Linked DNA regions of Ovis aries. The protein of the gene in region 5 purifies or fractionates together with the protein of the main gene of each other region. This does not show direct contact. Links are inferred from orthologs where the notes say so. Each region holds a gene or a part of one and is shown on either strand. Other genes may lie near its edges.

What was found.
Region 1: the proteins of NCK1 (region 5) and WASL purify together in Homo sapiens (co-immunoprecipitation; 4 studies listed by BioGRID and IntAct, with this or other methods). This does not show direct contact. The link is inferred for Ovis aries from reciprocal best matches to the Homo sapiens genes NCK1 and WASL.
Region 2: the proteins of NCK1 (region 5) and ARHGEF7 purify together in Homo sapiens (co-immunoprecipitation; 3 studies listed by BioGRID and IntAct, with this or other methods). This does not show direct contact. The link is inferred for Ovis aries from reciprocal best matches to the Homo sapiens genes NCK1 and ARHGEF7.
Region 3: the proteins of NCK1 (region 5) and ABI1 purify together in Homo sapiens (co-immunoprecipitation; 4 studies listed by BioGRID and IntAct, with this or other methods). This does not show direct contact. The link is inferred for Ovis aries from reciprocal best matches to the Homo sapiens genes NCK1 and ABI1.
Region 4: the proteins of NCK1 (region 5) and PDGFRB purify together in Homo sapiens (affinity purification with western blotting; 3 studies listed by BioGRID and IntAct, with this or other methods). This does not show direct contact. The link is inferred for Ovis aries from reciprocal best matches to the Homo sapiens genes NCK1 and PDGFRB.
Region 6: the proteins of NCK1 (region 5) and TNIK purify together in Homo sapiens (affinity purification with mass spectrometry; 3 studies listed by BioGRID and IntAct, with this or other methods). This does not show direct contact. The link is inferred for Ovis aries from reciprocal best matches to the Homo sapiens genes NCK1 and TNIK.
Region 7: the proteins of NCK1 (region 5) and GIT2 purify together in Homo sapiens (co-immunoprecipitation; 3 studies listed by BioGRID and IntAct, with this or other methods). This does not show direct contact. The link is inferred for Ovis aries from reciprocal best matches to the Homo sapiens genes NCK1 and GIT2.

What each region holds. Positions count from the first base shown.
Region 1 is NC_056057.1:89,673,191-89,677,312, reverse strand, and holds the start of WASL (actin nucleation-promoting factor WASL), read left to right. Parts: upstream 1-1,322; 5' UTR 1,323-1,690; coding exon 1,691-1,807; exon of another isoform or gene 1,808-4,122. UniProt on the Homo sapiens protein: Regulates actin polymerization by stimulating the actin-nucleating activity of the Arp2/3 complex. Involved in various processes, such as mitosis and cytokinesis, via its role in the regulation of actin polymerization.
Region 2 is NC_056063.1:84,832,088-84,836,348, forward strand, and holds the start of ARHGEF7 (rho guanine nucleotide exchange factor 7), read left to right. Parts: upstream 1-1,461; 5' UTR 1,462-1,512; coding exon of another isoform or gene 1,513-1,518; 5' UTR 1,519-1,967; coding exon 1,968-2,456; intron 2,457-3,214; coding exon 3,215-3,299; intron 3,300-4,261. UniProt on the Homo sapiens protein: Acts as a RAC1 guanine nucleotide exchange factor (GEF) and can induce membrane ruffling. Functions in cell migration, attachment and cell spreading. Promotes targeting of RAC1 to focal adhesions. May function as a positive regulator of apoptosis.
Region 3 is NC_056066.1:17,230,811-17,234,310, forward strand, and holds part of ABI1 (abl interactor 1), read left to right. Parts: intron 1-924; coding exon 925-1,025; intron 1,026-1,813; coding exon 1,814-1,894; intron 1,895-3,500. UniProt on the Homo sapiens protein: May act in negative regulation of cell growth and transformation by interacting with nonreceptor tyrosine kinases ABL1 and/or ABL2. May play a role in regulation of EGF-induced Erk pathway activation. Involved in cytoskeletal reorganization and EGFR signaling.
Region 4 is NC_056058.1:59,246,384-59,249,883, reverse strand, and holds part of PDGFRB (platelet-derived growth factor receptor beta), read left to right. Parts: intron 1-1,593; coding exon 1,594-1,688; intron 1,689-2,601; coding exon 2,602-2,734; intron 2,735-3,260; coding exon 3,261-3,365; intron 3,366-3,500. UniProt on the Homo sapiens protein: Tyrosine-protein kinase that acts as a cell-surface receptor for homodimeric PDGFB and PDGFD and for heterodimers formed by PDGFA and PDGFB, and plays an essential role in the regulation of embryonic development, cell proliferation, survival, differentiation, chemotaxis and migration.
Region 5 is NC_056054.1:252,945,119-252,949,325, reverse strand, and holds the start of NCK1 (cytoplasmic protein NCK1), read left to right. Parts: upstream 1-1,407; 5' UTR 1,408-1,523; exon of another isoform or gene 1,524-1,798; intron 1,799-4,207. UniProt on the Homo sapiens protein: Adapter protein which associates with tyrosine-phosphorylated growth factor receptors, such as KDR and PDGFRB, or their cellular substrates. Maintains low levels of EIF2S1 phosphorylation by promoting its dephosphorylation by PP1.
Region 6 is NC_056054.1:217,053,465-217,056,964, reverse strand, and holds part of TNIK (TRAF2 and NCK-interacting protein kinase), read right to left. Parts: intron 2,795-3,500; coding exon 2,688-2,794; intron 1-2,687. UniProt on the Homo sapiens protein: Serine/threonine kinase that acts as an essential activator of the Wnt signaling pathway. Recruited to promoters of Wnt target genes and required to activate their expression. May act by phosphorylating TCF4/TCF7L2.
Region 7 is NC_056070.1:63,467,486-63,470,985, forward strand, and holds part of GIT2 (ARF GTPase-activating protein GIT2), read left to right. Parts: intron 1-1,688; coding exon 1,689-1,831; intron 1,832-3,500. UniProt on the Homo sapiens protein: GTPase-activating protein for ADP ribosylation factor family members, including ARF1.

The DNA.
Region 1 (4,122 bases), on a different chromosome or scaffold from region 5:
TAACACTGTAAACCAAGGTAACTTTGACATATCCATATTTTATGTGAGGACTCACAGAACTATGATTACATTTTCCTTTTAGATTTATTTCCACTCAGTTAATTTCATTAAGGCAGCCTTCATTTTTTAATAATTTTTTTAAAGAGTATTGATAATGGCTTAACAATCTGTTTAGTACACCCAAGATTTGTACTGGGAGCTTTCAGAAATATTAAAATCAAATAGTTTTACCAGCTTTCATTTGTTAAAGGATAGATGTCTTGAGTTTAACATGTTTTTTGTTTAAAAATAAACAAATACGATGGTAACGATTATACAATAAATGCTAATTTGTTTAAAGTGGAGATGTTTATTCTATAATTCAGGGCAGTGTGTATTATTTATCATCTCCATATTACCAAACTTCGTTTTAAGCCAGCTGTCTAGTGTTTAACCTACTGAGCAAAGGGAGTTACTCTAGTTTCCAATATTGAATATAAATTTTTAAAAGATTCCTGAGATTTCGGATTAAGTTAGATGTATTTTTCTGAGTGACATCTCTAAATGGGTACATTCATTTTGGATAAAAAGTAAACAAGGCCTTTGGTGTTTGAGAAGAAGAAAAACACGAGGAGGGGAAAAGGAAATATTTTTCAATTCATAAAACATCAGGGAAATGTGTGGAGGACCCATAGAGAAACGAACCCAAACTGCAATATTACAAATACATGTATCCTTTTGAGAAATACCACCGGGCAGTAGAAACCTTTTCTAAGTGCCTTTGCTTTTTAGGAACGTCCATCAGCAAGGTCTCTTCCACAATCCTGGCAGAGGCCTGTTCATCCATTTCCACTGTTGAAGTTGGGACAGTGTCTGAGAAACCGCAGGCACCTGCGGCTCTGAGCGAACTGGCGAGGAACACAGGGAAGGGCGTCCCTTCTCTCATTTTCCGTCTCCAGCTTCCAGAATTTTCTGACAGGAGCTCGAAAATCTTTTTTCTCGTGTCTCAGAAAAAAGCTACTTCGGGGACGGGTCTGCAATGACGCTCCGCAAAGGTGTGCGTCTCAGAAGAGGGGATGACAGCTCGCTGGCGGAGACGAGCCACCTCCTCTCTTCAAGCCTCTGTAGAGGACGACTATCCGAGGAACCAGTTCGGACGCCAAACGCTGCGACGGTCCCACAACCCCGCGTCACACCGCAGAGCGCCCGTAGCCCGCGCCTCAGCCGGAAGTGGGCGTGGCCTCGGGCCGGCTAGGCGAAGCCAGGCGCGGCGTGGGGAGGTGGGGTTCCTCCCGGGCCCGGCCCGCAGCCGCGCGTTTCCGGCGCGCTCCCCCGCGTCTCGCGTCCTGTGGTCTCGCCCGTACCCCGCTGCCATGTTGGATTGTGAGGCCGTTGCCGCCGCCGCCGCCGCCGCCGCCACTGCCGCCGAAGGAAGGTTGGGGGAGGAGTTGGGAGTTTAGCGCAGTCGCCGGAGTGCGAGGACAACGACCATCCGGCCAGAGCCTACCCCGGCGGGAACGGGGAGCTTCCCTTTCTCACAGCGGCCCGCCGTCGGCTCCTCCTTCCGTGGCCTCCTCCCTGCGCCGGAGGAGCTGCGAGATGCTACGCCTCTGATTCCCCTCCTCCCGCCCCTGTCACCCAGAAGGGGAACGAGCGCTCGCCCACTCGCCCGAGGAGACGGCCCTGGCCTCCCTACCCCGCCGGCGAAACCATGAGCTCCGGCCAGCAGCAGCCGCCGCCGCCGCGGAGGGTCACCAACGTGGGGTCCCTGCTGCTCACCCCTCAGGAGAACGAGTCCCTCTTCACCTTCCTCGGCAAGAAATGTGTGGTCAGTGTGTGAGACCCGCATCGCCGCCCCCGACCTTAGCCTCCCGGGCCCGGGAGGGAGCGCCGGGAGGTGGGAGTGGGGAAGGAGGCGGGAGCGGCGCGGGGAGAATCGGACTGCTGGCCAGGCCTTTCTCTGACCCGGCTCCCTGGGTGCGGGCAGTGCGGGCCGGAGGCCGCCTCTCGGACCTGCCCAGGGAGCAGGGAAGTGTCAGGTCCGCAGGCCTGTTCTGGAGCCCTGCTCGCTCGGACCCGGGTCCGTGCCTCTGCTGCTGGTTCAGACTTTACTGTCAGGCCTCGCGGGGATATTTTTATAGGAGCTGCCTGATCGTAGTAACTGGGCTCCTGGACTGGCTCTCGCTTCTCCTCCTACGACCCCGATGTGGGGGTACTTTCCTTCACAATGCCATTGGTTTCAGGAGTGGGTGTGGGTCGGGGACCGAAACTCAGATATGAATGAATCGGGCCGTAAGGTCGTCTTTTATTCTCCCTTGAGGATCTCAGGAAGGAATGAAGTCGAGTCCATCGGTTTAGAACGGGGGGCAGGTAATGCTGCTGCTCCCCACTGCAGAGAAACGAGGTTTATTTCTCCAGCAGTCTCTCTCAGGCCTGGTTTCTCTCCTCTCCACTGTTTTTGTTGTTGTTTGTTTGCATTGGTCGGAGATGCTGCTCTCCCAGAACCAAGCTCAGGGGAACCGCGATCTCCAGCAGTTCTTGCCTTTTGGGATCTGAGAATGGGTCTTACTTAGGTCGGTGCTGTGCGGCCTGTTCCAACTCCAGATGGCTGGTTGGAGCCAGCAGCTCTGCTGTGGGAAGGGGAATGTGTTGTTGACGGAAGCATTCATTACATTGGCTGCTGGCGCTTCTGGGGGTGGGGAGGTTGTGCTCTGTGGGGTAGGCCTTGTCAGCCTGCATCTTACTGGGGTGGCCGAGTTGAGCTGTGGTTGAGATTGTTGAAACGCTGTTCAGTTCCCTTTCTCCCCTCTTTACTGGTTAACACCTGCAGAGTCTGTGCCACTGGCACCCCGGAACCACCGAGGGAAATGTCAACAGAGCTGTACCTTTTACAGCTTTCCTTCTAATGTTAAATGTGTCACCCAGACTGCACCTGCTTGTTTAAGAAGTTAGGATTAGACAAGTTCTGGGAAGTTACTAGATTAATTGTTAACTTTCTAGGAGTTTACCCATTGTATCCTGTTCCACCTGGTAGGAGATTGAATCATTACGTTACGTGCAGATGTGTTTCGTATTTCAAAAGTTAGACCTGATCAGAATAAAAAAAGGTGCGTTAGAATCAGGATTTGGGAAAACAGCTTTGAAGACAGTCAAGCCCCCTCTTCACTCTCCCCACACAGTTTTTAAACAAACAAGATAACTGAGCCGGTGAGCCCTCTGTCTCACAGCAATTTAGTAATGTAACCGGAACTAGAAAAGCAGGACTCCTCATGCCTGTTGTGTTGTACTTTCCACTACATCATGTTGTTTTAGAAGTTTTTTTCTTACTTGTTATTTATTTAAAAGTAGTGTTAAAGAAATAATCACTTTTTTTTTTCATCAGAAGCTGATACAATTAAGGTGTAAGATTCTTAAAGCAGCCCTAATTTGTGCATATTTTCAATTTAGGAAAATCTCCAGCCATTTGAATGTGACATTATCTGCAAATGAAAAGTTTTTTAAAAAAATTTTCTGGTACACTACTTATGTTATATAATCTGTCTCAGAAAAGGAAGTAATTGTACTATGTGTTACATACCAGACACATTAGGCAGGGAGGGACATTACATTTATACACAAGCATACTGACTAATTGCTCTGCATTTCCTATAATGTTTACTGGTGTCAAAGAAATGACAGACATGTAAGAATACAGCGATAGATAAAGAATGGATTTCTGTCATTTAGAACCACACTGTTGGAGTTACCTGCTCTTGCTGTATGAAATGGTTGCAAAGATTAATATTTGAAGTCTCCAATTATTAGACAGTAAAGAATGAGATCTTAATTTCTGGAACAGTTCCCCCCCCCCCCCTTTGCTGACCATGCAGTATTTTGTACATTATTGAAATATTTTATCTCATTAAAAAAAAAATCATGCAATGAGATTTACAGGTCAGACCAAATTTGTTAAGCAAGAAGTGCATTCAGAGCTTTAAGAATTATCAAGAAAATGAAGCTGGAGTAGTTACAGTCGTAGCTCTCAAGGAGTTTCATTCCTTCTTTCACTCAGCAAAGTAGTATTGAGTAGCAAAGAGTCGGACACAACTGGGCAACTTCACTTCCTTTCTATAGTTCCTTTTGGAGAAGGAAATGGCAACCCAC
Region 2 (4,261 bases), on a different chromosome or scaffold from region 5:
CTGAGCCACGGCTTGTGGTTGGGCGTCTGGGTGTTGGGGTGACTTGTTAGGTCGACAGGTGCCCTGGGCCCTGGGCAGGGCCCTGTCTCCCTTCATCTCTGGACCCCACCCTCCTTCACAGCTCGAGTGGCCCCTGCAGAGGTGCCGACGCGAGGGGGAGAGGGGACGTCTCCTGAGAGAGCCCGAGCCCTCTGAGGGCGAGCCGGGGACCTGGGGTCTTTCTGGGAGATTCCCTGAGCAGGTCTGTGGAGCAGCTGTACTCTCTCTTCAGGAGCCAGCTCTACTGGGGGAGACGTGGGTTTATGTCCTGCTCTTACCCAGAGGAGGCTTGCCCACCAGCAGCCTGCACGACTCCGTGGCTGACCACTCGGCAGGCGTGTCCTGCCCGTTGTGCTGGCTGTGGAGACGGCGTGGGTGTGCTGAGTGGCCTCTTTATCCTGGGGTTCAGGCCGGGGGAGAAGTTCCCGAGCGCCGTGCCCTGCTTATGCTGGAAGGTTCCTGAAGCTTCTGCTGGGACGTGAGGGCAGTGTCCTGTTCAGAGTGGCTGCTTGGGCTGGCTCTTGTTGGCCAGCGGCAGGACAGCGGGTCGGGGCGCCCACCCTGCGCCTGGGGAGGGGCCGAGCGGAGGCTGGGAGACTGCAGTCAGACGGGAGCCGGAGGGCGGCGTGGTCATCCTCTGGCCGGGGGCCTCAGAGCTCCTGCTCTGGCGGGCGGGCCACCCTGACCGAATCGCCCCGCCGTGGGTGCTGGTGGCGGCTGGCGTGTGGCGCCTCATCTCCTCCTCAGGGATGGGTGAGCCCTCCTGTGTCCGGTGTTAGTTCAGGGACCAAGCCTGATACCACGTGTGATGCTAAGTGTAAGGAAAGAGCGTGTCAGAGGGTGGTGTAGGGAGCGAGCGTGACGGCTGGGAGGTCGAGTTCGGCTCAGGCGCGTGACGGTCCGCCTTAGCCCTCCCGTGCGCTCGGCGGCTCCGGGCGCTGGGTGCTCGAGAACCTGCCTTCTCTGCTGCACAGGTGGGGCTGGGCGGGTGGACTTCTGTCTGGGAGCCTCGGTGCCCTGATGGACTGAGGTGACCACTGGCAGAGGGTCCACGGGCGGGCAGGCTTGTCTCCGAAGCGTGAGTGCCCCGGGGTAACTGTGCACTGTTATTCCCACTTTCTCTGAACCCTAAGATTTTTTTCTTCTGTTGAATACATTCCTGTTTCAGGAAGTAATTGGTTATCTTTCTCTAGAGAAGCCCTTTAGTCAAAACATCTTTGACTCAGAATGTGCGTCTTCCCCTCTCGGTGGCAGGCGCTTGTCTGGTCTCATTGTGTAGCTTCCTGTTGAGAAGTGTGGTGTGTGTGTGAATTCACTTAAGTTCTGACATCACTTTGGAGCCCATTGGTGGGCTGCTTCAGCCAACCAGACGCTTCCTGGTGTCCAAGTAAGATATATAGTTCTGGAATAACAGGAAACTTCAGCTTTCAACATCCTGTTTTTCTGGGTTTTGTGACTCTCTGCCTTACCACGATGAAGGTTAGTAGATACTTTTATGTATATTTTTTCTTGCAGAATACTACAATTTGAATTTTCCAAGCTCTGGAATTAGGACCTGAGAGCTGAGACTGCCTCCTCCCACCTTTTCCAGGAGAAGGAGCTTTTGTGTTCTGACAGAAGGGAGTGGAGGCCTGTTCAGGGCCCTCCTTTTAATAAAGAACTCAGCCAGCCCATTGCAGATGTAGCTGCACACGCCTGCCTGAATCACGGTCTCCTCTGACTTGAATCTTGGAATCACGGGGATTCCAGAGACTGTCCTAAGGGGTACTCGTTTTCATAGGCGGGCAGGATCTGGCATCACGAACGTTTTATCTCCTGCTCCATCTGCGAGAAAGGTGTGAGCAGTGTCGCAGAGTGCTTGGCTGTCTGAGTTCACGACTCTTCCCCTCTCCCAGCTCTGTTTGCGTTCCTCTCTCAACTTGGGTTTAATGGCCTCCTTTCTGGAGCTGGTTTGTTCAGCTCTTGGATTTTCTTTCTTTGGTTCACGTCTAAGCTCACCTCACGAGGATGTTTACTCATCTCAGAAGGTAAAGCAGGAGAGTGGGCCAGAGACGGCAGTGACTGTCGAGATTTGGAGCAGCCCTGTGTCCTGGGTCTGTCCTCACAGAGACCTTCCGAGCCGTGGCGGGGAGGTGGGATGGTGGGAGCCGGGCGGGTTGCTGCCTTCTTACTGTGTGCGGGCTGTTCTCTGGATGTGGGGGGTGAGGGCTGCGGGGCGGGTTTCAGTTTCTGCAGCGGCCTGTGCGGGGACTGTGCAGTGTGCTGAATCCTCCGGGGCTGCGCAGGGGGTGGGAGGCAGGAAGAGGAGCCGGGCTTCCTGGCAGGATGTGAGACGCAGGAACCGTGAACCAGCTGGGGCGACCTGCAGAGGACGCCGTTCCTGGGATGGCTGGCCGCCGGAGGTCACTTTTGCCCCGGTGAGAGAATCTTTGAAGTATGTTATCCTAGTTTTCATTTTGACATATGAACACATCTTTCTGTTACCTGCATCTCTGAAAGAATTTTCTTTCCCTACTTTCTCTGGCACAAGTTGTGGATCATCTGATGGTTAAATTTTTTGGTGGGGAGTTGTTGTTATTTAGTGATCCAAAGCTGTGTGTGATCTTCAGACAGCGTTTGGGAGTGAGGTGTGTGTGTCTCAGCCCGTGGTGTCTGTGCACACGTCCGAGACCGTGGCGCTCTGTCTGGGCAGCCCGACGTGCATTCTCTTCCAGCTCCTGGGCGGGCGGGGCTGGGCCAGTGCGGTTGTGTCCCTGGTCTCTGGGGTGGAGGCGCCCCTCTTTCTGGAGTCTGGCTCCCCGCTTCCTCTCCCTCGACCCTTGTGTCCACTCCAGCATCTGGGCTTCCCTTTGGCTGCTCCTGACTTTGGCCTGGGCTGTGACCGGGAGAGGAAGTCTGTCGTAGGCATGCCCAGCAGCCTTGGCCTCAGTCTAAGGAGAAGAGCCCTCTCTGAGTGCCAGGAGTGCCCCAGGTCGCTGGGAGGGTGGGGCAGGGTGGTTCAGAACTGGACTCAGCCCCAGGAGCAGAGTGGCCCGGCCTCCTGGAAGCTGAGCTCCTCGGGTGCCCTTGCCCGGGTCTCACCTGCAAAGCCCACTGTCTTCCTCCCGCTGCACAGACTGCCACGCCCCGCCAGTGCCGGGCTCGGCTAATTCTGCTTATTCTCTTTCCCTTGCAGACGTTTGATGCAAACGATTTGTATCAGGGGCAGAATTTCAACAAGGTCCTCAGCTCCTTAGTGACGCTGAATAAAGTAACAGCAGGTAAGTGTCTTTCTGCTGAACCTGAGGGGAGGGGAAGCCACGGGCAGAGACCGCGCCCTCCTGTCAGCAGGCAGGAGCTTAGAAAAGGACCGCGCTAAGCTCTTGGCTGTGGCTTTGCTGCGATGCTATTCTTTTTCCTTGTCAGAGCAGCTCTTCCTTTTCGGGTCCCCGTGTGTCTTGGTGCTTCCCCTCCTCTGCCTGAGCGAGCAGCAGAGTGGCCTCGTCCACGGGTGCACTCATGGGCTGTCCTGGCCCCTCGGATGGGGGCGCTCTGCCCTCACTGTGTGGGGAGGAGTGGGCCCGAGGGACCACTCCCAGGGCCCTCAGGCGCCCACAGCTCTAGGCTGGGCTTCTGTGCTTGACCTTGGCTTGCAGTGGAGACTCTTGGCGGTTGCAATGGCAGCACCTCAGGTCAAGCTGAATTAGGACCCGGGTGAGTGAGTGTAGACAAGGGTGGAGGTCTGGATTCTGGAGCAGAGGTGGGCTCAGACGGACGTCAGCACTCCACCCGGAGCAGGCCTTGCAGGAGGAGATCTGTGGCATCTCATGAAGGTTGTCCGTCAGGCAGCACGCTGCTCCTGCCGGCAAACCCCCCCCCCCCCCGCCCCGCCCCGCCCCGTGAAGGGATGGGCTTGATGTGAGCACTCAGCAAGAGGGTGGCCGGCTGTGAGCGGCCAGGCTGGCTCTGAGAACCGTGCTTCCCCCGTGACTCCATGCCCCGGCCCAGCCCAGCCACCCCTGGCTGCCAGGACCACGGCTGATGCGCTGTCCTGGGGCTGGACGTGCGCTCGGGCCACAGGCAGGAGCAGCTTCGGTAGATACAGACCCCACGCGAGGCTGGAGGCGTCTGTTTCCGGGGTCGGAGGCTGCTTCTGCTCCGTCCACCAGGTGGCGATGCTCGGTCATCGCGGCGGGAGTGCGGGGCTCCACACGCCCCGTGCAGACACGGGCCGGGGCCGACA
Region 3 (3,500 bases), on a different chromosome or scaffold from region 5:
TAGCAACTGAACAACAATATGTCCACTCCACATTACTGAAACTGGTCAGTGTGAGGTTGTATACCTAAAGGGACAGTAAGTCCACAGAAGTTAAAATTTAATAGTATCTACTATTCTAGAATGTTCCTTGGTGAAATTTCATTACTGTCTTCTTTCTCATTTGCTCATTTTTCCAAAAATTTCCCTGTCTTACTACCATTCTTTGAGATTAATTAGAGGTTTGCATATTAATTTCAGACTAAGGTTGGTTACCATTTTTATGAACTTCTATAGCATCTTTTGTGGCTTCCATCCCACTGTTTTCAATGTCTGTTTCCCATTCTCAACCAGGAGTTCCATGACAGTGTAGTTCATGTCTGGTTTGTTCACTGCTGTTTATACTAGGTTTTACATCCTTGCTGATTCATTGTATATGAGATTGTATTGGTCATTCGTTTCTCAATGATCTCTTACAGTTCTGAGTACTATATGATTATATTGGTTTTTCAGTAGATGGAGAAACATAGTGAAACACATGGATTTCCCTGTAGCTCAAACAGTAAAGAGCCTGCCTGCAATGCAGGAGACCAGGGTTCAGTCCCCGGGTTGGGAAGTTCCTCTGGAGGAGGGAATAGCAATCCACTCCAGTATTCTTGCCTGGAGAATTCCATGGAGAGAGAAGCCTGGCGGGCTACAGTCCGTGGGGGCACAAAGAGTCGGACACGACTGAGCAACTAACACACACAGTGAAACACAAAAACCACTTCAGGTATTAGAGTTAAAATTTGTATTGGACAGTTAAAACGTTTCTTTCTATGTAAGTGTGTGTATACATATGCATACACACATCCATCATTAATAGTGTCTGGTGGCTTTGAGTTGATTGCATTTTTTGGAGGAGTCCGTAGAATTGCTGTTTTCATGGTGTTTCTCTCCCTCTTGCAGTGGAAGCAGCGGAGGAAGTGGCAGCCGAGAGAACAGTGGCAGCAGCAGTATTGGCATTCCCATCGCCGTGCCTACACCCTCACCACCCACCATTGGACCAGGTATGTCATCCCCTAATCCACTGTCATCTGTGGTAGCATTTATGAGCTTTATTATGGAAGTCTGAAGCAATTTAGTTACATTAGTTTCTCCTTACTTATAAAAAAAGCATATTAAATAACTTTGGGGCCATTTTGCTTTAGAAATACTTGGGTACTAGTCAAGAATGATAATTACTATTTCAAGAGCAAACCAATATTGTTGATAATTCAACTGAAAGATCAGTGTCTTTAATGTGAATTATGCATCGCTGAACTTTGATGTTGCCTTGTAGGCTGGTAGGTGTATCAATTCTGGGATAGCTGGTTGTGACTTTCCTGCTTTTATGTATGATAATCGATATATACATCAGTAAACGCTCTGAATGTAACATGGGATTAAACTAAGAAAAGCTCTTTTACTTTTTAGATTATATAAAAATTTAAGAAATCATAGTAGAGCTATGATTAGTCCCTTGATTGTTTAGTAAATGAAAGGAAGACTTTTTGTTGTTAAAATATGCATTTGAAAAATGAGTTCGATAATCAAAACTGGGAAAAATTCTTAGTTTCTCAAGGATGTTGAAAAAGGAGTAAAAGCTACTTATAAAAACAGGCATATTTTATAGTTAATGAAAATGTGAACTCAGTGACCTTTTTACCTTGTAAAATTCTTATTCTTTAACATGCTTTGCATATGGGTGTCTTTCTCTGTTTTTTTCTTCTTTCCAAAGCATTGTACTTTCTTACTGTTTCAGAATGATTAGTTTTCTTTCTTGCACTCTGACCTGAATTATAAACTATTTTATTAGAAAACATTTCTGTCCTCCCTCCTTCTGGAGCTCCACCAGCACCACCTCTTCCACCTCCCCTCCCCGCGAACACTGTGATAGGTGAGACTGCATAACCACTGGAGTGGTTTAACTTACTGTGCCTAGTTCATAGTCAGCTCCTGTTGGACGGTTAGCTTTTGTAGTAGTTATTAGGTTGTAGGTGGTAGCACAAAGTTTAAAGTAGTAAGTCTAATTTAAACTAATTTCTCCTTGTGAAAGGCCTCTGAAGTTATTCAGAAACTTCTCTGTGATGTCAAATGTGTCTCTGCCTTGTTTATAACCAAATTAATGTGGTTTAGCTTTTGTTTTGTTTAGATCTTTCTAGGAGTATTATAGCAGTGATTGTTCAAAAAAAATTTTTTTATTAGTGACGCAGTATTTTTTTAAAGTGAGACTTAATTTGGAACTCCCTGGTGTATACAACAGTCAAAGGAGTGGGGTGAAGGTGGAGGACAGGAAGAAGAAAAATGGAAAAGAGAATGATGTGTAGGGTGCTCTGAGGCTTTCCTGTGGCTCACAGTTGAAAGACTCTGCTGTAGTCAAGGATTAATGGCATCTGAGGGTGCTGTGAAAACATTTTTATCAATAAAATACATTTAAATTGTTCCCAGGTTGAGGGAGACTGGATTGAACATACAGGAATTCCAAATATAGACTATATAAAACCATTCAGCCTAGAAATGCACAGTAGCATTTGGGTGGAAATGGATAAAGAACTGTCTCAAATAATGGAGCTTAGGTGAAATAAAAACATCTAGCATCTTCTTTTAAAAACATTGGCACTTGTACTCAAAAGGAAGTAATAAAAAAAGGCCCTAGTAATAGAAGTTGTTGGCAGAAAGTTCATGTGGAAAAAATAATGCCCTCAACCTAATTAATAATCAGGAAGACAGAAAATAAAAACCAGTGGATACTATTTTATAGCTACTAGATAGGTAAGCATGTCGAAGTCCCCGAGTACCAAATGTCAGTGAGGATGTGCAGTAACAGAAAGGTACATTGCTGGTGGCAGTTTATTAGTTAATATGCTCCCTTTAGAAAGTAATTTGTTGTTACTCAGTCAAGTTGAACCAGGTTTCTTACCTTAGATTTATCAATTTAATTTCTAGATATTTCCCCTAGAGTACTGGTTCTCAAACTATAGATATGTGACTCCTGGGTGTTGCCAAAATCCTTTCTTGGCGTTTTTGAGGTTAGAATTATCTCCATAATAATACTAAGACTTGTTTGCCATTTTTATTGTCATTCTGGTACAAGGACACAGTGGAATTTTCCAGAGGCTACATAACATTTGATAGCATCATTTTTGACAGCTAAAGGAACATGTATTTGTATATTCATGTGTTTTAAAGATAAATCAGTTTTAATTTCTAATATGGTAATTACCTATTCCTGTAACTCACTTCAATAAAAATTTTTTGAGGTTCTCTAATTTTAGAGTGGACCCTAAGACCAAAAAGTTTAACCACCACTGAATTAGAGCAGTGGCTTCTGAAATATGATTTCCAGATCAATAGCATCATTGTTGTGGGAGCTAGTTAAGAATGTAAATTCTCAGGTCCCATTCCAGACCTCCTCATTCAGAAACTGAGACTGGAGCCAAGCAGCTTGTATCACAATAGGCCCTTAAGATAAAATTCTGATCAGTGTTTGAGAACCACTGTTT
Region 4 (3,500 bases), on a different chromosome or scaffold from region 5:
CAGTCACTACGGTGCCCAGATGCTTTTGCTACCTGCCAGTCCCAGTGCGTACATGGACCTGTATGCATAAACTTCATTTATGCACCTGTTTCCTCATCCAGTAAATAGTCACAGGGTCTCAGCTTCTCTCTGGAGAAAGCCCAGCCCTGCCTGTCCTCCTAGTGCCCATGGTCCAGAAAGGACACAGATGAGGAACTAGGCAACCTCACTGCGAGGGTCAGCTTCTGGGGGGAAAGCCTAGAGGGAGAAGGAGCTCCATCCCCATCTATAGGATTCAGAAAAGTATCCTGGTGAAATGAAGCTTTAGGCCAATATCTGAAAGAGAACTAGGAATTAGCCTAGTGAGGAATGGTGCTCCAGTCAGAGGGAACAGCCTGTTTAAAAGCCCAGAGGCAAAGTGAATTCAGAGCAATTAAAGAAATCAACGTGGTTGGAGAACAGAGTTTGTATGTATTTAGGGGGTGGGGGAGGAGGGAAAGGGGAAGGGACTACAGGAGAAGCCAGAAGCCAGTGTGAGCAGAGCTGTGCAGGTTGTACAAGGTGTTTTGGACACACTTATGCCGGCACTTAGGTAGGTATTTGGGCTTGTATAAGCAGATACTTCTTCACACAGGCCTGCCTTCCCCTGCCCTGTGGTGGGGTGGGTGGTGGTTTTAATGCCTTATCTCATCTACACTCCTATACATACCTTCATATTCCTGAGCAAGTGGGCACCTACCGACCAACTCTGAGCAAGGCAGAAGTAAAGCTTTTGCGTGCCGTCTGAGGGGGAAGCCATGTACCACCCTGCAGGGAACTGTCATGGCTGGGTGAAGTCCCCTCTTTTTGCTCAGAAGATGTAAGCTCCCTAGAGCTCTCTAGGGAGCAGAAAAGGGCCTGTGGGGGACAGGGGAGGAGGGAGGGAGTTTCCAAGGAAAGTCACGGGTGGCCAGAGGGGCAGGACAGGGGTGATGAGGGTCTGGCTGAATGAGGAGGGAGTGGGAAGAAGTGGGTATGTGCAGCAAAGAGGCTGAGGCTTTGAGGGTAGAGGAGACTCAGGGCTTGGGGGGCCCAGAGTTGGCCCTGTATGGTTATCCCTGTTGCCTGGCCCCTTCCTCATTCTGCTTTACGATTGCCATCATGGCGGGTGGGGGTAGGGGAGGGGAAACAGGCTCTTTTGTGGAGTCTGTATGCCTCAGGCTATGGGAGTTCAGTTATTGTATCCATCGGCCTCTGTCCTAGCTGTGCCAAGCCCCCATGAGGGCCTAGATTCAGAGGAAAGGTAAACCACAGCCCTGCTCTCAGGAGCTTGTCTTCAATCTGGACCTGCGGCAGACAGGCCAGACTGACCTTGGAAAGGGCTGAGGGGATATGGAGGCCAGTGGTGATCCAGGGGGAGTTACTGTAGGGCAGGGAGTATTTAGGGTGAGGCTGGAGGTGTGGCCCAGAAGAGAAAGGCTGGAGGTCTGACATCATAGGCCAAAGCGGGGATGGAGCTGGTTCCATTCTGGGCAGGATGGGCAGAGAGGTTTTGTGGTACCAGAGGTAGATTGCAGGGAGGGGAGCTGCCAAATGTCCTGTTTGTTCATAAGCATCTCTCATCTCTGCGTCCAGCCCTGCCCTTCAAGGTGGTGGTGATCTCAGCCATCCTGGCCTTGGTGGTCCTCACGATCATCTCCCTCATTATCCTCATCATGCTCTGGCAGAAGGTAAGCCCCGCCTTTGCCTAATGGGTTCAGAGTGGCACACCATTTTTTCACATGGACCTCTGCCATCCTCTAGTGCTGCAGGATCTGGCCATGTCTGGGGCCCAGCATGGAGCTCAGGGGATAAAATGATGTACAGTAATGCAGGGTGTCTGAGCTTCCTCCAACCGCAGCAGCCTGGACCAACATGGGCCTGGTCCAGACCATCTGGAGTGCTCCGACTCTGCAGCGCACCCCTCTCCCCACCCAGCATCCTGCTCGGGCATCATGTCTGTCCATCCTAGCCACAGGGCACGAGACCTTCAAGGTGGACTGCCTGGGTTCCAGCATTCTTCCAGCTCTCACCCACACTAGGATTCTAGTGAAAGGCATTCTAATCCTGCTAATCTGTCATTTCAGTGGTCTGTACTGCCGTTTCACCATTCCATGACTCTACCGCAGGATTGCTGCACTCGATTCTGTCATTCTAAGATTCCAGTCCTGTGATTCCAGCATCCTATGATTTCAACAGTCTAAGGTTAAATCTTTCTGAGATTCCCACTGTGACTGAGCCGGCATGGGGAGGGGCCATCCACATCCAGTGGAGTGTCCCTGCCTCATGTCACTTTCCAAGGCTACGTGCTCCTCTATTCCCATCGGAGGAGCAACTGAGGTTCTGGGAGAAGCTGGTGAGGAGGTCCTGATAAGCCTGTGGCTCAGCTGTCAGCTGCTTCTCTGCCACCTCCTCCTTACATCTGTTCCCATGGAGCCCGTAAAGGCCTTGGCTCTATTGATAACTTGCTGTATGACTTCAGATCTACTGTATGACTTCAGATAATCTTTTCTGGGCTTCAGTTTTTCTTGTCTCATCTGTTTCATAAGGAGCTGGACCTAGTGGTCCGCCTCTGATGATCCATCCCTGATCTTGATCCTGCAGAAGCCACGCTATGAAATCCGATGGAAAGTGATTGAATCTGTGAGCTCTGATGGCCATGAGTACATCTATGTGGACCCTATGCAGCTGCCCTACGACTCCACCTGGGAGCTGCCACGGGACCAGCTTGTGCTCGGTCAGTCCAAGGAGGCCTCAAGTGGCAGTCTGGGGACTTGAGGCGGGTGGGAACACTGTCTGACATCTGGGCCCAGCCTTGCCATGATTGGCTTGAGACCTAGGGCTGATGTCTTGCCTTCTGTGGCCCTCAAGCCCTACCCTCTGTACAATGAGGGTAAGATGATCCCCCTTGAGACCCTCTAGCCTTTATGTTCTATGATCCAGAGATGCTGTGAGATGAAACCCCTTTGTGGAGAAAGAGGAAGTGCCAGGCCTGTGCTTAGTGCAGCTGGAGAGGCTGAGAGGGTACGGAGAACCTGTGCTCCCCTCTCAGGGAGAGGTTTTCCAGGGACTAAAGAGGGACCAGAAAGTAGGCAGGACTTAGGTGAGACCAGGAAGGACCGCAAAGCACTGTGATTTTAGGAGCCTTCATGGGAGAAACACCTACGTCCAGGGTGGCTTGAGGGATGTCTAACCTGACCTCAGAGAGCATGCATGTTGAGATTCTTCATGAGTCAGCAGCTGAGAGATCATCTCTTTCCCAGGACGCACGCTGGGCTCCGGGGCCTTTGGGCAGGTGGTGGAGGCCACAGCTCATGGCCTGAGCCATTCTCAGGCTACCATGAAAGTGGCCGTGAAGATGCTGAAATGTGAGTCCTGGGAGCCCGCCCCTCCCTCCCCTCACCCCCAACTCCCCCGCACATTCAGGCACTCCCAGAGCAGGCCTTGTGCTGATTCTCAGGGTGCAGAAGTACAGGCATACCACAGCCAGCAGCACTCCCAAT
Region 5 (4,207 bases):
GGGCCACAGGTGATTTATGCTTGACCGTGTGATCATATATATGGCAAGTGAACCATATTCCTCTATTAGGATACAAATGAATAATTCTGAAGTTAAATACAGAAAAGCATAAATGAATGAAATTGGGGATTGAAGCTGTACTAATGCCTTAAACAATACTTACTGATGATCTACCATGTGCTAGAATCTGCCTGCAAAGTGGGAGACTTGGGTTCGATCCCTGGGTCCAAGATCCCCTGGAGAAGGAAATGGTAACCCACCCCAGTATTCTTGCCTGGACAATTCCATGTGTTACAGTCCATGGGGTCGCAAAGCGTCAGACAGGACTAAGTGCCTAACACTACCATGTGCTAGGTACTGGGGAAAAACAGTACTGACTGACATGATTTCTGATTTGAAATCATGTAGGGGTAGGGAGGTCTCCCCAGGTGGTAAAGAATCCCCTTGCCAGTGCAGGAGACGCTGGTTGTATCCCTAGGAAATGGCAAAAAGCTCCAGGATTCTTGCCTGGCAAATTCCATGGAGAGAGGAACCTGGTGGGCTTCAGATCCATGGAGTCGCAAAAAGTCTGGCTCTTTCAGCAGCTGGATGGGGAAAACACCTGTGCACTTACCAGGCTTCCCTGGGCGGCAAACGCCTACGCAGAGCCACAGAGATGGCTGGGGAGGAAGAGGCAGGTGATGGGGTCTGAGGCTCCGGCGTGGGGAGAACCAACTTACTGATGGCAGGTGTCTGGGGCTGGGCAGCTAAGAAAGAACAGACCTGTCACCGAAAGTCACTGTCCTCACAGCAAGGCTACGGCAACCAAGAATGGAAGCTATCCACGCACCAGGGCGCTTCGAAGGCCCTCAGACTCAGCTTATTTTGGTTTGCGGTTCAAGTTAAGGACACGTCTTACATTTTTCTCTCAGGACTCTACGTTCAGGCCTTTTTGTTTGCTTCTCATTTTCGCTCCCGTCCCTAAGAACTTTCCGCTGGTAAGACCTTCTTCAGGTGCAGAAACCAGAAGGAAGCTCCCAGAGCAGTCGGGGCTTAACTCGGAAAGCAGTCAGTTCTGTTGTGGAATCTCCTGTGGCGCTGAGGAGGAAGGCCCCAGAATAATCAGCCAGAGACACAGAAGCAACAAAACCCAGAAACTGGCAGGGCGCTTCTGTCTCTCTCACTCCCTCTCCACCGAGCAGCCTCAGCTCCACACCTAGCACAGCAATTGATTGACAGGAGGGCTCGCCCAATCCCAGAGCGGCGAAGACCGCCCTCGCGTCAGTGATAGGAGGGAAGGGGAAGACTGAACCTATCAGATTGGGCAGGGAGGGGGGGTTTCCTGTCTGCGCGGGTCCGCCCAGGGCCTCGCGACCGGTCGGCGCTGCAGCCCCGCCCTCCCGCCGCGCACGCCCCGCCTCTCTCCCCAGAGCTACGCGGCGGCAGAGCGGAGGCCTCGTGCCGTAACGGCCATCGCGGCGGCCGTGGCGGCGTCCCTGCCCTCCTCAAGTGAGCTGGCGCCGCCCGGGCTTGGCAGAGGGGAGGTGAGACGGTCCTGCCGGCAGGCAGACGCACAGACAGCCTTTTTCTCGTCTGGGGAATCTACATAGCCCGTTACTTGCCGCGGAGCTTCCTCTTCCCTGCTGAAGTTAGCTCCCGGGGCGCCGTCTGCCGGCTCGGAGCGAAGCCGGAGGGGGCGGGGAGGCCGCTTGGTCGGGCCTGGGCTTTTTGCCTCGCGGCTTCGCGCGACCCTCCGGCCACTGCCCTGGGAGGCGCAGCCCTACGACCTTCCTGTCCCTCCCTGGAGCGTCGGGTCCGGGTGAGCGCTGCGGCCGGCCGTCCCTGGAGGCTGAGAGGTCGAGTGTGTGGCGTGCACCCTCCTCCTTTTCTTTACCTCTCAAAGTCCTGACGGCTTTGTGGCGCATTCCGAGGCCGCGGTGGTGGTGGAGAGGGGCGCTTACCTCTAGGAGTGGGAGGGAGCCGTTCAGGGTGCGGAGGATGGACATCCTCGGGATGCGCCTCCCGCCCCTCCCCCCACCCAGCCCCCTGCAGTTTCCCTTGTTGGGAAATCTGGGTTATTATAATATCATGGATTCGTACGTGAGTTACTTGGGCTGTAAGCTTTTGACTTGAGTTGTAATATATCCGGGGGGAAAAATGTATCTTGGTAGTTGGTTTTGTAACCTTTCCTGTGTGTGTCCATAAAAGTTTGCTATTAGAAGCTCGGGAAGCTGAATTTTGTGCCGGACTGAGAACCCTTACTTTACAGACGCCCAGTTTAGTGTCACACTAATGAACTAGTCACTTAAAAATAATTCTGCCCGTTAACTTTGGCAAGAAACCAGGGGAGTTAGGAAAGGATGAGTTGAAGAAATTTCTATCCCCATCTTGGGTGGTGAGCAAAAAAAAGCTCACTGTTCAGTCAGGACAAGTAAATGTTGCAAGAGGTATTCATTTTTAAAAATCTTACTTTGGTAGATGTAAGAAAGACCAACCATACAGTTTATTAAGCAGATGGAAAGTGCTGTGTCTCAACCCTCAGGGAGTTTACAGAGTAAATGGGGAATTATCCAAGAAGAAGGTTCTGTTTGGTAATTGTCAGTAATATTCAGTTCTTAAATAGATATCCCTCATAGTTTGATAGAAACTCGAGATCTGTGCTTTGGTTGATTAATAGTTTTATTTCATTTTTATTGCAAACTTTACGATTTTCTTCTTTGGAAAATTCTGAACAGTTTGCAGAATGTTCAGGATTTCTCAGCTGTGCTTGTTCATATATTAAATTTTAAACTTGTTTGTTCTGTTTTTCTAAATATTTAGTCTAGATTTTACTAGTGCTTTCAGGTCCTTGAAAATAAAACATGAAACATAACAGGGTACGTTTTGTTAGATATTGAGATATGTTTTAGGCCACTGGATTTTTTGCACCTTTGAGAACTTCCCTGCCAAAACTCAAGGTAGATTTGATGCAAATGTTATAAATCACTTGTCAGGAAGACTTAATAAATCCATATCCTGTCTATTTTATTCTTTTATAGTTTAACAATTTTTACAATTTATTTACCTTTGTAATATGGAAAAATACCAGATATTTTTCTGCCTACACCAGAAGACTAAATGATTTTCTTATTTCGTCAATAAGTAGAATTGGAGGAAACTATTGAAATCACTAAGCATTTAACAAATTCTCTGTTAATACTTTGCTGTGGTGTTTTAGGAAGACAATTGACAGGGCCAAAAATGACATTTAAAGATTATTTAATAAGGCAACAATTCTGTCTGGATGTTCCTCACTTTATTTGAAAGATAGAATTTATAGTCTTCCTTCAAAACTGATTCCATATGCTGACTTTGTTTTGGTGATATTTATCATGCCTTAAACTACCCAGGCATAAGCCCTGGTTTTATCTTAAGACTTCCTCTCACCACATAACATTGCCCAATTTTTGTCAGCCATTTTCTGAAATTTCTTTCAGATATCTGTTCTAACCACTCGTTTTCTTTTTTCCCCCCAGTAGCTTTTAACCGGATTTTCTGCCTCTTTTCTCCCTTAGTATGTTCTGGCTTCTGCCTTGTTCTAAAATAGTGCTTCCACCACCCTCACTGTTAAACCAGCATTAGTTCCCTGTTATTTCGAGTATAGTTCAGAATTCCCAGCCTTCTAACAGTCTGCTCAAAACCTGTTTTTTTCTAATGATAACAGTAATTCTCTATAGGAGCTGTCCATCCTAACACAAACCAATCTCTTGTTCTCATCTAGATTGTGTATTTTCCTGCCTTCATGTCTGTTGACACTTTGCCTGTTTATTGCTAGTATTTTTTAAAAGAAATTTTCCTCCTTAAATTAAGTGGCAAGTAAAGTCAGATTTTGTTAACATTTCACATTTGGTCCTTCTGCACAGCCTTCTAGATCTTTCGGTTTCTGTGTTGTTGCTTTCCTTTGAACCCACAGCCCTTACTGTTTTATCATTTCTTTGGTTTTTAATATGTGGACTTGTATTATAATACTACAGAACAATATTGTGGGAATGTTGAATCCATCCTTCCATTTTATACATAGGGAAAATGTAATCCATACAGACTAAGTTCACTGAAATTCACCTAGTGACCCTGGCAGAGCTGACTTACATATACCTTAATTTCCTACTTGATTTCCTAACTCAAGTTCTGTGTATTAAAATTTATGTGTGTATTCTTATGAAGCTATACTTCTTTTCATCTCTTGCAG
Region 6 (3,500 bases), about 36 Mb from region 5:
GCTAAGTCGCTTCAGTCGTGTCCGACTCTGTGCGACCCCATAGACAGCAGCCCACCAGGCTCCCTCATCCCTGGGATTCTCCAGGCAAGAACACTGGAGTGGGTTGCCATTTCCTTCTCCAATGCATGAAAGTGAAAAGCAAAAGTGAAGTCGCTCAGTCATGTTCGACACTACATGGCAGAGACGGGGATTCTCCATCCCCCCTTCCCTGCAATGCTTTTGATTATCATTGCAGGTAAATAATTATTACTGCTAAGTTCATTTCCTCCCTACATTCTCTGTAAGCAGAAAAATGTTAGCTGTATTCACAAGATCTCCTTTCTTTGGACAAAATACAACGTTTAAGAGGTTCCAAGGGAAAAGCACATGTTTTGCAAGCCACTGACCATTTATTGGGCTTCCCTGGTGGCTCAGCAGGTAAAGAATTCACCTGCAATGCAGGAGGCTTGGATTCGATCTCTGGGTCGGGAAGATCCCCTGTTGGAGGGCATGGCAACCCACTCCAGTATTCTTGCCTGGAGAATCCCATGGACAGAGGAGACTGGCAGGCTCTAGTTCATGGGGTTGCAAAGAGTTGGACACAACTGAAGCAACTGAGCATGCATGCACGACCACTTATCAGTTATTTTGGAGCCTTAATGTTATTAAATTAGTATCTCAGAGGGAACAAAGGACTGCTTTTTATTTGACTAGAGAAACACAGTTCTCTTTCTTTTGGGTTGATAGAGGGAAAAAGACTTAAAGTTGAAATGATGCTTGATGTACAGAAACTGAAATTCTAAACAACTTATCTCATGAACACAGCCTAGAAGGCAGGGTTCAAAGGAACAAGAAGCCCTGATAACTGGAGGTTTACTATTGCTTGGAGAGGAGGACTGGTAAAGTTCAGGCTGGCAATCCAGCCTCACATTCCTTTCACTCCCTGGTCACAGTCCACACAAGGGGTCCTCAGTCCTGCTCACAGCACCGGCTCGGTGGTGACAAGCTGCTGGACAAAAAAAAATTCAGAGCTTCTGCAACTGGCAACTCCACTCAGAATGAGCTAGCTTCTTTGCCCTCCAGAGGTGAATGTTCTTAGTACAGTTCTGTCTTATTTACAGACTGACTCCTTCCTAAGGCTTTTCATATGAAGAGAAAAATGAAAGCCTTATGATCAAAACCATTCCATATTTTAGGATCTGTACAAATAGTCATAACCTTCATTTCCAGTCTCTTTTCTTTGACTAGCAAGAGACTGTCCTCTTATGAACACAATGAAGAATAAAACAGTACCCCTAAGTTCCTTTTTATAGTCTCAACAGAGGCCATTTGCTATTTCAGCTGATCCTAAAAAGGAGTGTACTCATGAAACATGTGAGGGGAGTTTGATGAACGACAGCAACAAACAGCATCTGTTACCCCATAAAATCTGCTGTGATACTGTAAGGATATTGTTTATTTTCCAGCTTCTGTTCAGACCTCTACACCCACCAGTAGGTGGATGCAACTTCCTGATTGTAGGAATATACATGGTTGGTAAAAAATTCCAGAAGAGCAAAGAGCATCACTGTATTTCAGTGACACTCCACAATTCCAGAGATGACTTCCTCATGAGAACTAGTCCTTTTGCAATTTGCCAAACTAGGACAGCTCTGCAGCTGGTCACTATGGCACTTCTTTGCCAATTATTTTCTTTCTTTCTTTTTGGCTGAGTTGGGTCTTCATTGCTTTGCCGGGGCTCTTTCTAGTTGTGGCGAGCACGGGCTTCTCACTGTGGTGGCTTCTCTTGTTGTGGAGCATGGGCTCTAGGCCTGCAGGCTTCAGTAGTTGTGGCTCACAGCCCCTAGAGCATGGGCTCTGTAGTTGTGGTGCATGGGCTTAGTTGCCCCAAGGCATGTGGAATCTTTCCAGACGAGGTATGGCACTGAACCTGTGTCCCCTGCATTGGCAGGCTGATTCTTAACCACTGTACCACCAGGGAAGTCCTCTTTGCTAATTACTTTCTACTGTCTCAATAGTCCTCAGGGCACATTTCTTTCTTTTTTTAATTCATTATTTTTATTTAATATAAATTTCTTTATTTTAATTGGAGGCTAATTACTTTACAATCTTGTGGTGGTTCTGCCATACATTGACATGGATCCGACACGGGTGTACACGTGTAAATTGGAGTATAGTTGCTTTACAATGCTGTGTTAATTTCTACTGTAGAGCAAAGTGAATCGGTCACACATATATGCATATATACTGTCTTCCTTGGATTTCCTTTCTATTTCGGTCACCACAGAGCCACAGGGCACGTTTCTTGACCTGATGCTAAAAATCATCTCAGATCAGGCCACTTTGTTTGGCTGGCTTCATCACACGGTCCCTGAGGTTAATGGTCAGGGGTACCACACCCAGACTTCATTTGTAGTTTTACTCCCACATTTGAAAACCTGCCAAATAAGGTAAGCCAGACTGGCTTCTGCATTGATTCCGTGATTCATTTGCTCATTCATTCATGAGCCCACATTATACACTGGTTTCTGTGAAAGGCTACTGAAGAAATAAAAGACTTGCCTCTGGCCCACCAAAATTTACAGTCCGGGTGGCCAGTCAACATGCCTTAGAAGTGAAAAAAGAACAAAGGTGGTATTTTAGGAAAGCAGTAATGACAACGGTAGGTGGGGCTCTTCCCTTCACCTTACCCATCTTCCTTCCCTTACCTTGCTCTGATGGGTTGAGATCCTAATCTGGGTCCCAGAGCACTACCATTTCCAGGAGAATTCTTTCTTGCTAATGCTGGGGATATAGAAGTTGTTCTTTGAGGCACCTGAAAGGAAACCAGAATTCAGAAATATTTTCCATAAAATAACTTCCATGTGGTACTGCCTGAAATGCAGCCTACTCCTTTCCTAGGATCTGCCAGGAGACATGGAATGATCAGAAACAGGAAAGAAACATCTCAAAGAAATACTTAACTCCCTAAACAAAATCAAAGGAAAGGCAATGAGGCACATTTTAGCAACTATTAATGAGTATTGCCTTCAATGTTAAAAACAAATTTAGAAACACAGCAAGTGAATTACTTTGATGTACAGGGCTAAAATAATTGCCTTCCTTTGTGTGCACAAGAGTGGTGGACACCAGAAATTTCTTTGGGGTATCATGAACTCAGTTGGCCATTGGAAACTGCATCTGATGACAGTCATCCAGATAAACAGAGTTCCATTTTTAACTCACAGCACAACTAATAAACAGATGAGGAAACTATGAAATCTGGTGAGAAACTAGGGTATCAGACTAGAACTTGGGACATAAGCTCAGTGAGCTCAGAGAAATGACTGGAATAGGTCCTAAATATTTCCACTTGCTAACCAAGTTGCAATTGCTAATTCAAAACAAACTCCTACCACTGTGATTCCAGAGGTCAATTTGCAAATGTAATTTAAAACACAGGATTAATAATGAAACTGCTGGAAGGTCTTCAAAAAACTATGTAAGTACCAGTTAGACTGTGAACTACAGTTGGAAATTGT
Region 7 (3,500 bases), on a different chromosome or scaffold from region 5:
CATGCATATGTACAAATGAATATCTTTATTTATCCCCATTACTCCCAGATCTCATATTTGCCAGTTCACCTGTTCATTAAAATTCATTTATTACCTTGAGAATTCCCTGGCAGCCCAGTGGTTAGAACTCTGGGCTTTAACTGCCAAGGGAGCAGGTTCAATCCTTGGTTGGGGAACTAAGATTTCTGCAAGTTTCATGGGGCAGCAAAAAGATAAATAAATTAAAAATTATTACCTTAAAATCTTACAGCACTTTGATGGTAATTTGTGGATCTGTACAGTGTGGTAAAAAATTTGAGTCACCCAAAACACATGTTCCCATGTGAGACTGAGCAAGGCCATGCTCTTCCTTTTATTTCAGCTCTTATACTGTAAGCAGGTAGCCTTTTTGATATTTATTTAGTGCCACAGTTTTTCACATTTTTTGATAATTTCACTGTTTAAAGTGGTCCCCAAGTACAGTGCTGAAGAGCTGTATAGCATTCCTGAGCACACGAAGGCGGTGACATGTCTTACAGAAAATACATGTGTTAGATTAGCTTTGTTCAGGCCTGAGTTACAGTGCTGTTAACCATGAGTTCAATGTTGATGGATCAATGATATATATTCAAGATGTCTTTAAACAGAAACGCATGTGAAACAAGGTTATGTATTTATCAGTTGACAAAAATGTGACCAGATGTTTGCAGGAACCTAACTGTATTTCCACTCAGAACAGTGGTTCAGTATTTGCTGATTTGTTCTTCACAGCAACTTTATAGACCGTGACTGCTACAAATAGTAAAATTTACTGTCTGTATTTGTATATGCTTGGGAAAAGACTGGCAGAAAATAGAATGACATGTATCAATAGCTATGAATGACTACTCTTATCATTAGTTTCAATTTTTCTATATTGAGTCCTTACTACTTCTGTAATCTGATGGTATATATATATATTACATATTCATTTTGAAAACTAAAATTCCCTTTGAGTAAACATAATTTATCACCCAGATATTATCCTTCAAAATTTCCATAAACAGTGTTGGAAATTTGAGGTTTGCTTGAGTTGCCTGAAAGAGAGATGAGAGACTTGGATAATTTGCGAAATCTTTCATTCATAATGTGTCAGAGCTGATAGAACCATCGCTACTTCCCAGTAACCATATGCTCTTGGTCTGCATGGTCTGTATCCAGTGGGTCATTTTCTTTCTCTCTCTTTCTCCCTGGCGTTCAGTTAAGGAAAGGCCAACGTGCCTATTCAGTGGTCTCCTAGTTTCTAGGCTTACTTTAGCAGTTTTCTTTCTGTTTTGACTTGATGTTAAATCCTGTAAAAGAGTTACAATTGTAACTGAATTACAGTTAATCGTACTTTAGTTACAGCTTTATTTTCGTGATTTCGAGCTATACTGTTTCCTTGAATGATTACAGATTTGGGAACCTGCCACCTTACATGAGCAGCTCTTCCCTAGCCATCTAATTCGTGCCCATTTTTGGCAGGTATCTCAGATGGTTGCTTCACTCTCTCTATAGTTTTCAGTAGACTCTGTCCGGTTGATAACGTGCTCTGTTATCCCTTTTGGGGGTGAATAGAACCTTGCTATTTCTGTCATTTTTCTTCCAGTCTTTTAAATGGCTCATTTTTCTTTTAGGAAAAAAGAAGTTCTTTTCAAGCCTGAAGTAAAGTTATTTGCTTCTGTTGACAGACAATGTAGAACTGATACTGAAAACAATTAGTAACCAGCACAGTGTTGAGAGTCAGGACAATGACCAGCCAGACTACGACAGTGTGGCGTCAGACGAAGACACGGATCCGGAAGCCACTGCAAGCAAGGCCCACAGGCAAAAGGTAAGGTGGTGCATTGCACACAGAAAGTGAGCTTATGTTCTTTTTCAGATCTTTCCTCCTAAAAATTTGCCTGATTTGTAAAGCATTCGAGGGCTAGGCCTGGGAAAAGTGCTCTGGAGGTAAAATTGGGTTTTCTACTAGTTTGGCCCAAGCAAAGGTCAACAAGGTAAATATTTTAAAGTTTTAAAATAGGGGGTCCCTTGCCCCTGAGTCAGTTGCTGACTCACAGCCCGGCTGCAGTATTAACTTTATAAAACCTATGAGGAGGGACGGGTGGGTTTTACTCTTTCAACAAATGTTTACTTTTGTTGGGTATTACCCAAACTTCTCTGGATAATACTCTCCTGAATGAGGGCTGGTCTCTTTCCTCTGTGAGGCCGTCCTCACCAAGAGGAGAGGGAACCGCGGTTCGAGGGTCATAAGTGCAGACAGGAGCGGAGGGGTGGGAGCAGGCGATCCACAGACACAGCCTGTCACTGACAGGGAGTGTCAGGGGAGGCTGAGAAGGCCCGGGACGTGGGCACGTGGAAAGGCAGGGAGGGGTCAGACTGAGCGGAGGTGAGACAGGCATCTGGGGGACGTCTGGTCACGTGGAGAGGCAGCCTGAAAGGAGAGGGAGTCTGAGCTGCGGCAGAGGGCGGGGATCACACCGTGCAGGAGCGTGACCCCAGACTGAAGAGCTGAGACCTTGGCTGGCAGCGCAGAGCCCAGGAAGCTTTTAGGCAGGGCGGGAACACCATGTCCACCTTGTTGGGTCCTCTGTTTGGGGAGGACCGTTCTGGTGGGTCAGGAGCGGAGGAGAGGAACCCAGGCAGGGAGGTGCCGACAAGGTCCAAACAAGAGCTGACGCAGGCTCACCTCAGGGCCTCTTCAGCTGGGAGGGTCTGGATGGAAAACAAAAGTCACCGTTGCAGAGAGTGAGCCCGAGGCCAGGGCAGCAGGGGCCTGGCTGGCCTGCCTACCGCTGAATATCCCTGACCTGGCCCACAGGGGGCTCAGCAAACACTTGAGAATGGGCAAACAGGAAGACAGAAAAGGCAGGGCTTGGGGACAAGTTAGACATTGGAAGTGGGAAGGTAGATTTACCCGAGTTGTGTCCGGAGTTTTCCAGCTTACACAGCTGTGCGGGTCAGTGGTGCCACCGGCAGATGCAGGGAACATGGAGGGGATGGCAAGAGTCAGCTGTCCCATCTGAAACATCTCCGCCAGTCTCCCCGGAAGTGCTGAGTTCAGTCGAGTGAAGGCGGGTCTTGACTGGACCCTGCACGACAGGGTCCCTGCACTGGCTAGCCTCCCCCTCCTCTGGGCCTTGCACACCCACGCCCTCTAGCTGAGTCCTACCACAGGCTGGAGCGCTGTCCTCCAGACAGCCACCTGACTAGTGACCTCCCCTCCTGCAGGCTGTTGCTCATGTCCCCCCACCCAGCTGTCTAGTTAAAATGCACCCACGTCCACCTCTCTTTCAGCTCCCCAGCCCCTCACTCCTCCTCTGTTCTGTTTATTTTCCATAGCACTTATCACATTCCCCTATACTATGTAGTTATTTATTATTATTTTTCTCCCTCTCTCACTCAGTTGGGATGTAAACACCATGGAAGCAGGAATCTTTTTCTATTTTCTTTTCTTATGTAACCTAAGCCCCTAGAACACTGCCTGATGCTTAGTAAAA